3 linked regions of the Elephas maximus indicus genome follow. The main gene of each other region encodes a partner of the protein of the gene in region 3 in a complex. Links are inferred from orthologs where the notes say so. Each region holds a gene or a part of one and is shown on either strand. Other genes may lie near its edges. The genes, in order: POLR1H, POLR2F and TAF1C.

The links.
Region 1: TAF1C (region 3) and POLR1H share a complex: the UniProt entries of both Homo sapiens proteins name them as parts of the pol I pre-initiation complex. The link is inferred for Elephas maximus indicus from reciprocal best matches to the Homo sapiens genes TAF1C and POLR1H.
Region 2: TAF1C (region 3) and POLR2F share a complex: the UniProt entries of both Homo sapiens proteins name them as parts of the pol I pre-initiation complex. The link is inferred for Elephas maximus indicus from reciprocal best matches to the Homo sapiens genes TAF1C and POLR2F.

The regions. Positions count from the first base shown.
Region 1 is NC_064819.1:89,721,904-89,725,650, forward strand, and holds the start of POLR1H (DNA-directed RNA polymerase I subunit RPA12), read left to right. Parts: upstream 1-1,330; 5' UTR 1,331-1,397; exon of another isoform or gene 1,398-1,597; 5' UTR 1,598-1,617; coding exon 1,618-1,753; intron 1,754-1,954; coding exon 1,955-2,055; intron 2,056-2,241; coding exon 2,242-2,351; intron 2,352-3,747. Other genes in the region: putative uncharacterized protein ZNRD1-AS1, read right to left, coding at 249-283. UniProt on the Homo sapiens protein: Core component of RNA polymerase I (Pol I), a DNA-dependent RNA polymerase which synthesizes ribosomal RNA precursors using the four ribonucleoside triphosphates as substrates. Can mediate Pol I proofreading of the nascent RNA transcript.
Region 2 is NC_064822.1:181,850,794-181,854,540, forward strand, and holds the start of POLR2F (DNA-directed RNA polymerases I, II, and III subunit RPABC2), read left to right. Parts: upstream 1-1,049; 5' UTR 1,050-1,166; coding exon 1,167-1,186; intron 1,187-3,747. Other genes in the region: C4H22orf23 (UPF0193 protein EVG1), read right to left, coding at 405-507. UniProt on the Homo sapiens protein: DNA-dependent RNA polymerase catalyzes the transcription of DNA into RNA using the four ribonucleoside triphosphates as substrates.
Region 3 is NC_064839.1:50,142,242-50,145,988, forward strand, and holds the start of TAF1C (TATA box-binding protein-associated factor RNA polymerase I subunit C), read right to left. Parts: upstream 2,454-3,747; 5' UTR 2,312-2,453; intron 1-2,311. UniProt on the Homo sapiens protein: Component of the transcription factor SL1/TIF-IB complex, which is involved in the assembly of the PIC (pre-initiation complex) during RNA polymerase I-dependent transcription.

The sequences.
Region 1 (3,747 bases), on a different chromosome or scaffold from region 3:
TACAGGCCCAGCAACAGACCTCCCTTTGTAAGATAGGGAAAATGACATCTGGATAAGTGAAATTATAGCGTTTGTTACCCTCCGGTAAGTGGCTAAGAGTTTTTAAGCCCTTCACTATTACATATGTCTCCATTGTGGCAAAGACAGACCGGTGCCTCTCCCCAAGAGAGACCACAGCTTGTAATCTTCATGGAAGAAAATAGTGATGACTCCAAAACTTCTATACTGAAGGAGGTTAGCACAGTTACCTGAAGATGGGAGAGCTGGGCGGCAGAAGAGTCATCTAGAAGCTGCACTCTCAGGACAAGAAGTCTACTCAGATTGTAGGTTACAGACGAATGAAAATAGCAAGATTTTTCTAAAGATATTTGTCTAAAGATATCTGTTCTAAAGATCTGTGTTTTATAAAAGATTACAGAAATGTCAACGGACCACCTAATGGATGGCAATGATTTAGAGTTGGTTGGGCAGGGGCGGAAGAGGAGGGAGGGCGGTCCCCAACTGAGCCAAATTCAGCCGAAGTCTTAGTGAAATCCTATCCAACGGCTGCCCCCTTAACGGAACCTCCCTCTTGTGGCAGGCGTCTCAGGGGTAGGGCGGAGGAAGCCCCAAACCGCCTCTCTTCTACCACTTCCAAAGTCCTGAACCCTTTCCCAAACATCCCACTTTCTCTCTGCTTCCTGTTGTGCATCCTTGCTTCGCCTTCGCCACCTTCTATCCCTTAAGCCAACTACCCACTTCCAAGCGCCTCTACTCTTGCCCCTCAAGCGGCAACGTGCACTAGCACTATAACTCCCAGAATGCTTAGCTTTGTTTTGAACCACTGCGCAGCCGCAGAAAGGAGATAAGCAAACAAAAACGAAAAACACCAAACCAGCTGCCGTCGCTCCAGTTGATTCCGACTCATACGGACCCTATAGGACATAGCAGAACTACCCCATAGAGTTTCTAAGACTGCCACATCTTCCTCCCGCGGCAGCAGGGAGATACAGGCTCAGAAATGGCGACAGTTATAGTTTTCTAGTCCAAAGAAATTAGTATTCAGGGAGGTTAGTACGGTTTTGAGGGGAAGGTCCTTGTGGGTTGCAAGGCCAAGAAAATAAACATTCTAGGGTCCTGGGGGAAAAAGCCGGACCCGCAGCCAAGTTAGCCGTTTTCTATCCGACGCCACAGTACCAGGCTAAATAAATGTCGTCCCCGATTTCTCTTCGTAGACCCTCGGCTCCTTCCTAAAGGCTCTCTGGTTCCGGTTCGCAACTTCTTATGACGTCATAGCCAATCGTGAGCCGGAAAGCCTTGACGCTCTAGCCCGCCACGCTCTCGCTGCTCCGCCGCCGGCGCGGAGACAGCGTGGTAGCCTGCGGCATTGACTTGCCGCTTTCCTCTTCCGCTGGAAGGTCTGTAGGTCCGGTGATGCCCGATGAGGTTTGGGTATTCCTAACACTTCGGTTCTCTAGTCGCTGAGGCAGGAGACGTGCGTGGGATGAGGGCTTGACCTATATATACCCAAGTCCTGGGACACAATTGGAAAGCCTTCTGACTAGGGAGGTTTTAAGAAGCCTCCCTTTTGTTGATAAAGTCATCCTCCCATCCCAAGCCTCTACCATCAGTCCCGTCATGGATCTCGCTGCCACCTGCTCCACCTTCCAGTCGGACCTGGATTTCTGCCCGGACTGCGGCTCAGTACTGCCTCTGCCCGGGGTTCAGGATACGGTCACCTGCACTCGCTGTGGCTTCTCCGTCAACGTGCGGGGTGAGAAACTCGTACTCAATGGTCCCGGGAGGGCCCAAGGTGGAAGAGTCGGAGACCTGGGGACCCGAGATGGGCGGGATTGGGGAAGGGACTCTGGAGCAGGAAATCAGGCACTTGTACCTTTGGTACAGAAGGGGACACAATTGGGGATTATATGGGGCCTCTCTTCGACTTTACAAACAGTTCTTACTTCTTGTGCAGATTTTGAAGGAAAGGTTGTCAAAACTTCATTTGTGTTCCACAAACTGGGGACAGCCATGCCTATGTCGGTAGAGGAAGGGCCTGAGTTCCAGGGACCTGTGGTAAGTTAATGAAGTCAAGAACTGTCCATAGGGGGAGAGTGTGATTGCAAAGATCTGGAGGGTTTTGGACCCAGTTCCAAGAGGGAAGAGGGGTCTTTAGAGCAGATATGTCTGTGATAGCCTGATTCCTATGAGAAGTAGGGGGCTTTGATTAGGCCTCCCCTGCCTCACTAGTTCTCTTCCCAGATTGATAGACGCTGCTCCCGATGTGGTCATGAGGGAATGGCATACCATACCAGACAGATGCGCTCAGCTGATGAAGGGCAAACTGTCTTCTACACCTGTACCAACTGCAAGTAAGTATTATTTCCTCTTCCTCTGCTTTCTCAGTCTGTTTACTAACTAAAATACAGTGGCTTAAATTTTTACTAAACATTTCTTTTCTTTGATCTCATCCAACATTTCTGTACAGTTTAGGTAATAGGGAGATATGTGGCCTTTTTTTTTTTAAGTAAATTACTCTTTCTTACCCTTTTTATAGCAGTTAACTAAACTTTTAAAAAATATTTATAAGAAGATGAAAAAATACAGAAGGCAGGTATTGCTTAGTGGCCACCATGTTATGCTGGAGCCTACCACTGCAATCAAGGTACTTTTACTTTGGTGAGAATTAGTAAAGAGTGTGGACTCTGAATGGTTTTGAGAACTGGCCTTTGTCTTTGGTGTTCTGTAGTTCCATTATAATGTGTCAAGATGTGGCTATCTTTTATTAATCCTATTTGGGATTTGTTGGACTTTCCAAAACTAGGGATTGATTTTTTTTCTTAAACAACCTTATAAATGATTAACCATTATCCCATTGAATGTTGTCTTTCCCCTATGTTTAATTCTCACATTCTGGATCTCTAATTAATTGTGTAAGGAGTCCCTGGGTGGTGCAGAGGGTTAAGCACTCACCTTCTAGTTGAAAGGTTGGCTGTTCGAACCCACCCAGAGGTGCCTTGGAAGACAGGCCTAGTGACCTGCTTCTGAAACCTCATGAAGCAGTTCTACTTTGCACATGTAGGGTTGCCATGAGTTGGAATTGACTCACTGGCAAACAACAATTAGTTTTGTAGTAAACCCTCTGTTCACTATTTCTTACAACCTGTCTGTCTTAGTTATCTAGTGCTGCCAAAACAGAAATACCACAAGTGGGTGGCTTTAACAAACAAATTTTCTCAGTTTAGGAGGCTGGAAGTCTGAATTCAGGAAGCTAGACATCTGAATTCAGGGCACCAGCTCTAGGGGAAGGCTTTCTGTCTCTGTCAGCTCTGGAGGAAAGTCCTTGTCTCTTCAGCTTCTGTTCCTTGATTCTTGTGATCCTCATGTGGCATGGTATCTGTCTTCCTCCATCTGCTTGCTTGCTTAATCTGCTCTTTTATATATCAAAAGAGATTGAGTTAAGACACATCGCTATACTAATACTGCGTCATTAACATAAAACAAAGAAAAAACATTCCCAGATGGGATTATAACTGAAGGTATAGGGGTTAGGATTTACAACACATATTTTGGGAGGACACAATTCAGTCTATAATACTGTCTTTCATATTTTCCATCTTTTTTCCTCTCTATGCTGCCTTCTGGGTATTTTCTACAGGCCTCTCTTCTAAGTTACTAATTCTTTCTTCAGTTTATTTCGGTTATTATTTTTTCATTTTTATGAGTTCTACTTGATTAGTTTTCAAATCTTAGTCATTTTTAAGTCAT
Region 2 (3,747 bases), on a different chromosome or scaffold from region 3:
AGCCGAAACAGGCACGATCCCTGCCCTGATGGAGGTAATGATCTAGAGAGAGATGAACATTAATCTAACGGATACAGCTAGATATCTGACAACAGGTTGGGCTATGCACAATGAAGACAAAGGTATTTGATGATGTGAGGGCAGTAACAGGTGCTTCTGTTGTGGTGGTATTGGGGGGGGGGTTCCCTGAGGAAGTTGCAAGTGTGATCTGAAGAATGCACAGGAGTTACCTACTCAAAAATTCTTAGCTCTTTGACTTTTGGCTACCGGCTAGCTGTAGGGCAGACTTCCCATCTGTAAAATGAAAATCGCCATTACTAAGCCACAGGTCATGTAGGGGAGAACTGAGTTACAGAGGTTAACAGTTACCACCACTTGTCTCTTCGTGTCCTTCAAACACTGACCTCTGAGCAGTTCGCAGGTCCCCGGGGTGTAAGCGGCTGGCTGGGGGCAGCGCCAGAACCCCGTTCTTTTGGTTACTGCCCCCAGCCTCTCCTGGGAAGTCATGGGAGGGCCCTGAGTAGGGAAAGACACAATGAAACACATCCCCTGTCTCCTAGTCCCAGTCTCTGTTTCCTTGCCCCCAACCCCACCCAAAGTCTGGGAGAGTAGGTGGAGGATCTGGGTGGCAGGAGAATCGTGATGACTCTAGTAAATATCGCGACAGTGCCCGATCCCGACCCTGACACACACACACACACAGAGTCCTCATTGGGACCCAGCGCCTGTGGCAGGGAAGTCCCCTCGGGAGAAAGGGAGCGTTAAAATCGCCGTGGTCACGGCAGTACCCATGGGGTGATGTGCCAGTTGAAATCTCACCCTAAAGGAAGACGTGTCTGGGTGCCCCCTCCCTGCGGAGAGCGGCGGGTAAGCTCCCGGAGACGGACACCACGACTCTGCAGGAGCACCCGACGCAGAAGCCCCCCAGAAATATTTTGCGATCTCTGCGACTGGAGCCGGCACCTAGCGGCTCTGGCTACCATGGTAACGTGCGTAAGCCATTCGGCGCATGAGCATTGACTCACTGGCCAGCCTCCCGGAAGTGATTGCCTCTGGGTCACGGCGCAGGCGCAGGGTACGGGTGGCCGCGCGAGGCCGAGGCGCGCTGCTTGTGTGTTCTTGTGCGGCCGTGGAGTGCAGAGCGGGGTCTGTGCAGCGGTGACGTTATGTCAGACAACGAGGACAAGTGAGTGCAGGAGCGGAGTGGCCTTTGCGGGAACCTAGGGAGGGACGGAAGCGAAGGCATGGGTCGGAAGAGACTGAGAAGTCTGGGGGCTAGGGGCAGTGTCCGAGGGGACGGGGATACTGGGGGCCTGGGGACTAGGGGCAGTGTCTGAAGGGACGGGGATACTGGGGGCCTGAGGACTAGGGGCAGTGTCCGAGGGGATAGGGATACTGGGGCCCTGGGGGCTAGGGGCAGTGTCCGAGGGGACGGGGATACTGGGGGCCTGGGGACTAGGGGCAGTGTCCGAGGGGACGGGGATACTGGGGCCCTGGGGACTAGGGGCAGTGTCCAAGGGGACGGGGATACTGGGTCCCTGGGGACTAGGGGCAATGTCCGAGGGGATGGGGATACTGGGACCCTGGGGGCTAGGGGCAGTGTCCGAGGGGACGGGGATACTGGGTCCCTGGGGGCTAGGGGCAGTGTCCGAGGGAACGGGGATACTGGGGTCCTGGGGGCTAGGGGCAGTGTCCGAGGGGACGGGGATACTGGGGGTTAGGGGCAGTGTCCGAGGGGACGGGGATACTGGGGCCCTGGGGACTAGGGGCAGTGTCCAAGGGGACGGGGATACTGGGTCCCTGGGGGCTAGGGGCAGTGTCCGAGGGGACGGGGATACTGGGGCCCTGGGGGCTAGGGGCAGTGTCCGAGGGGATGGGGATATTGGGGTCCTGGGGGCTAGGGACAGTGTTTGAGGGGACAGGGATACTGGGGGCTTGAGTTGGAAGAGACTGAGGAGCTAGGGTCTAGGGACAGTGTCTGAGGGGACAGGGGATACTGAGGGATTGGCAGAGCTGCAGAAGGGAAGGGCCGAAAACCAGGAGCACAGACCAGGCCGGAGGGTAGACACAGAAAGGCCCAGGCTTGGGGGACCTTATTCAGTGAATAAGGTGTCTTTCAACAGACTGCCACTGAGTTGGGCTCTGTGCCTTGTACTGGGAATATGAGGTGAATTAGGCACAGTCCCTGTCTGCAGGCGACTACTTTCTAGGAGATGAAACTGGCCCATGAAGAGATAATATGGGGTAGCAGTAGAAGTATGTAGCAGGGAATAATCCGGAGGGGCGAGGCTGGTGAGACCTCACAGAGGTGGTGAAGGGCTATGAAATGTGACTAAGAATTGGCCTGGTGGACAAGGCAGAGAGCCTTGCAAGTAGAGAAAACAATGTATCCTAAAGAACAGAGACATGACAAGGTGTGATGTGGGGGGAATTTGGGAAACCAGCTTGTGTTCTGAAAGCAAAACATGTCAGGAAGGGGCAGCTGAGAGACAATAAAGACCAGATGATTGAGGGCGGTTGTGCCTTTTTAAAGACTTTATTCTTGATCCTTGAGGTGAAGGGGACATTGAGTTGTTTTAAGCAGTGGGGCGACACAGTTAGGTTTTCTTTTTAGAAGAGATACTTTGCATACATTGTGATGAGTGGATTTGGAGAGTCGGATTGGAAAAGAAAGACCAGTTAGGAAGTTGTTGCAAAATTATAAACTGGGAAAGGATGGAGACCTGAATTTAGATTATGACCATGGAATAGGGAGGAGGGTGCAGAGAGATTTTAGGAGATGGAGTTGACAGGACTTGGTGATAGGATGTGGGTGCAAAGGAGAGATGGAGGTTGAGCATTTTCTAGCTTGAGGAACTGGGGTGGTTCTTCCAGCCATGATAGAGAACCTGGAAGAAAGAGCGGATTGTTATTATCTTCTTTGGGTGTGGTAGGATGATCCCAAGATCAAGAATAGTGGTGAAGAGGGCAGATGTGAGAGACTGAGGTCACGAAGTCTGTTTTATCCATGTCATATTGAATTTGACTGAATTGGGTTATTTATTAAACAAATATTTATGTGTCAGGCTCTATTCCAGAAGCTTGGAATGAATTGGGGAAGGGGTGGGCGAAGCACGGTGGTAACAGGCTAAGTAAGTAAATGTGTGTTAGGAGGTGGAAAGTAGTATGGTAAAAATAGAGAGCTGGGGGCAGGACTGTAGGTTTCAGTTTTAAATAGGAAAGTTACTAGAGAGAAGGCTTTGTGGAGATGATGTCATTTGAACAAAGAGTTGAAGGAGGTGAAGGTGTTAGCCACTGGGCAGATGGGACAGCTAGAGCAAAGGCTCTAAGGTAGGAGTATGCCTGGAGTGTGTGCAGAACAGTCAGGAGGCCAACAGTGTGGCTCCTGCAAGGGGAGGGTGGTAGAGGATGAGGTCAGGGAAGTGATAGGAGGCCAAATTATATAAGCTTGTGGACCACTGTTAGGACTTGGCTTTAACTCTGATTGAAATGGGGAGCCATCAAAAAGTTGTGACCAGAGAAGTGATAGGATTTTAGGTTTCATAAGGATCACTCTGGCTACTGTGTTGGTAATAGACTGTAGGGAGTCAAAGATAGAAGCAGGGAGTTTAGTTGGGAAGTTATTGCAGTAATCTAGGTGAGAAAAGGTAGTAGCTTGAACTGGGGTGATAGTAGAGGTGGTGAGAAGTGGTTGGATTCTGGATGTATTTTGAAGGTAGAGCCAAGAGGATTTTATCATGGATTGAA
Region 3 (3,747 bases):
GGGCGAGCAAAGCTAGAATCTAACGAGGGAAAGAGCCACGCAGACAACTGCGAAGAAAACAAACAGCGAGTGCAAAAGCCCTGGGCGGAAAAGTGCTCGGCAAGTTTGAGAAACGAGGAGGCATGTAGTGAAAACAGATCACGTGAGGAGAGCGTTAAGGGATGCCCATCCAACAAGCGGCGAGGGATGTTTCTATCACAGCTCTTATCAGCCTGCATTATGATATGATTACGCAGTTTGCAGCCCTAACTCCCAAGGCTTGGCTCAAGTTCCCCCAAAGCCAGGGACTTAGTCTTGTCCACCTATCTTCCCACTGTCAAGCACAGGGCCTCCCAGAAAACACACTGATTGACTATGTTGAAGAAAGATAAATTTATGTCAAAGGGTTTTGGGAATACAAAGTGCTCTAGAATACGAAGAGCAGCTAGGTCACCCCTGCCTCTTTTATTAAACGCAAAAGGACGGCAGTGCTCACTTACTGAGCCCCACATCTCCAGACATGGCATTATAAGCTTCACACTTCTTTCTATTGGCCCTATTGTGGAGTTCAGGAAACTGAGGCATGTTAGACAGTAACTTATCCAAGGTCAACAGCTCATAGTGCCAGAGTCAAGGCTTGATCCCCCATGCGAGTCAAAGTCTGTGCTCTGAACCACTGCATCCTTGTGCATCCAAAACCAAACGTTCACATTAGAGTCCAGTAAGCAGAAATCTTTTCCCTTGGAACCACCATTGCGTTTTATCAGTTTATGCTGTAACCTCTGCACATCCAGGTACTCTCAGCACCACACACTGCCTATCACATAGTAGGTTCTATATAAATACTTGCCAGCTAAATGAATGTTTCTCAGAGCACGTATCAGCCTCATCCTAATTGTGATTTATGTGTCTGGCTTGTCTCTCCACTAGACTGCAAACTTTCTGAGGACATGAACTGTGTCCATTCATTCCTGAGTCCCTGATGTCTGGCTGCTGCTATGATTTTCTTTCCCATGTAGGAGAGGAGAGAGGAAGGGATCTAGGAGGTGCTCAGTGAATTTTTACAGGATCTTTACAGAAGCTCTAGCTTCTGTAGGTCAAGGGGCACCCAAGCCTCTCCAAGGTGGCTGCATCCCCCATAACCCAGCAGACAGAAAATGTCTCCAGCTCATTTCTCCGTTCCCTGGGCTCCAGCCACGCTGATCTACTTTTGGTTCTTCACCGTGCCTCTTCTCACCACAGGGCCTTTGCACACTGTTCCTCTGCTTAGACTGAGTCCCAGCACTCAGATTTGGAGTCAATGATCTCCTACTCAGGGAATCCTCTCCCAGTTTCTCCAATCCTACCCTTCTCCCACAACACCTTGTACCCTTCCTCTAGGGCATTCACAGCAATTTGTGGTTAAATACATAAGGAGGAGGCTGTTTGATTCTGCTCTAATAGGTCTTGTGATAAATGAAGTGCATATATTCTCAGTGCCTTGGTATTTGCCACTTGGTAATAATCAGTCCGTATCCCTGGTGGCAGAGTGGTTAAAGGCTAGGCTACTAACCAAAAGGTCGGCAGCTCAAATTCACCAGCTACTCCTTGGAAACCCTATAGGGGCAGTTCTACTCTCTGCTATAGGGTCACTATGAGTCAGAATCGACTTGACAGCAATGGGTTTAACAATCAGTACATATAAGTTGTAGAAACAAATCTAGGAATGAATGAATGAGAGAAAAGAATCAAACAGCCTCAAAAAACCCAAGCCAACTGAGAGCGCTGGTGGAATCCAGGACTTGCCTGGGCAAGCAGCCTCGACCACCCCTGGCCGGCTTCCCGCCCTCCCTCTAAGCTTTCCATGCCCTTCCTACGTCCAAGGCTGAAGAAATAGGACAGGTCTGGCTGAATCCAAGACCGGGAACAGCAAGAAAGTCGCAGAAAATGGTAAAGGGGATACTAACGGTCTCTCCTCGTGCATCTCCTACTCGACCATGTCCTCACGCATATCCCTAATCCAGCCTCCTCGACGACCTCTTCCCACTCCACCTCCAGGCCCCACATTTTCAACCCGACAAGAGCAGAGGCCTCATATCTAGTGCTACATGCGCCAGGCAGCTGCTACGACACTTAACAATTTGTAGAATCTGCACTACTCCGTGAGCTACCGGCAGCTGCTAATCACCCATTCCGCAGATAGTTAAGTGACTTGTCCCAAAGCCACACAACTTGGGGCCTGAGCGCCCGCCCGCCGGGTAAATTCGAGCTCTCCTGTCGGACCCAAGTCCCGGTCTCCCGCCGCCCAGTGGGCAGCGCTCTCTCCTCCCGTCTGGGCGGTGCGCGCACTTACGTGCCCTGGCCTCGGCGTACTCGTCTGGGAAATGGGCCCCTGCGCAACGCTCTCCTGACCCCTGTCCCGCGAGAGAGCCCAAAATTTGCACCCACGCGCCAGGGAGTTCAACGGGACCGCGCCCACAGCGTGAATTAATAATTTTCCGGGACTGGCCGGAAGTGCCGCCTCGGTAACAGGAAGTCCCGCCTCCCAGCTCGGCCTCACGGGCGTCGGTGAGCGCCACCTCCCGGGTGGAGAGGGAATGGGGCGCAGGAAGTACCGTGGGAGGTGGGGACCCTGAAGTTCCAATAGTGAAGGCCAGTCAGAACTGCGTTCGAATCCCACATCTGCTTTACCAAACTCATGTTTGATATGGTTATTCTATTTAATTAATTCAGTATACATTTACTGTGCACCTACTGTTGGGCCTCATTTGCTGTTTGCACCACCCAAGGACTCCTAGCTTAAGGAAGACCTACAATAGTTTTAAATTTTAGATCTAATGATCCCGTGGGGCTGTTACAATTATAAGCACCTTCAGTCATCAGAGGAGTCCTGGCGGCACAGTCATTAGCTCACTGGTAACCAAAAAGTCAGGGGTTCAAACTCACCAGCCACTTCGTGGGAGAAAGGCATGGCAATTTGTTCCCATAAAGATTTGCAGCCTCGGAAACCCTATGGGGCAGCTCTACTCTGTCTTATAGGGTCGCTGAGTCGGAGTTGACTCCATAGCAGTGGGTTTTTCATTTACCAGATGAGGACCCCTGGCTCAGAAGGGTTAAGCTGCTGACGGAGGGGTGGTATGGTGGGGTGTGTTGGGGGGGTGTTTATGGTAGCAGCCAGGATGTAAGGATGAACTCCCCAAGGCCGCCAGCCGCTCTTTCCTGGTCTTTGATCCCTAGGACAACCCAACGGTCGAGAAGGGGCTGCTGGGAGAGCCACACCCCAGCCCATTCCAGAGGCCCCACCCGGAAGTGAGAATTCCGAGGTCAGCCAAGACTGTCGTCCCATTGGCCTGGCAGCGGCCAGAAGATCAACCTTCCCATTGGCTGGACAGGCAGGGGAGGGGCTCACGGTGCGCACCCTCCTACAGCTGCCCGGGAGACAGACCTTCTCATTGGCTGGGTGGCAGGGGCGGAGCTTGTGGTGCCCTGCTGGGAGACCAGCCTTTCCATTGGTTGGGCAGAGGGGCGGGGCTCGAGATGCGTTGCCAACCGCGTGCTGCCCACGCGGGAGCTGCCGGTGTATGTTAAAGTGCTCGCTCAGTGCGAGATCCGGCGCAGTGCGCCTTCTGGAGCTCGGGTTCAGACATGGCCTCTCCGGCCAGCGCGGACAGTGTTCGCAGGAAGCCCCGCCTGGCAGCGTCGTTGCAGATCAGTCCCGGGCCCATCCCTTGGCGGCCCTCGAGTAGTCTGGGCCAAGATCCCTTGAAGCCCGCACCCAGCCCCAGCGTG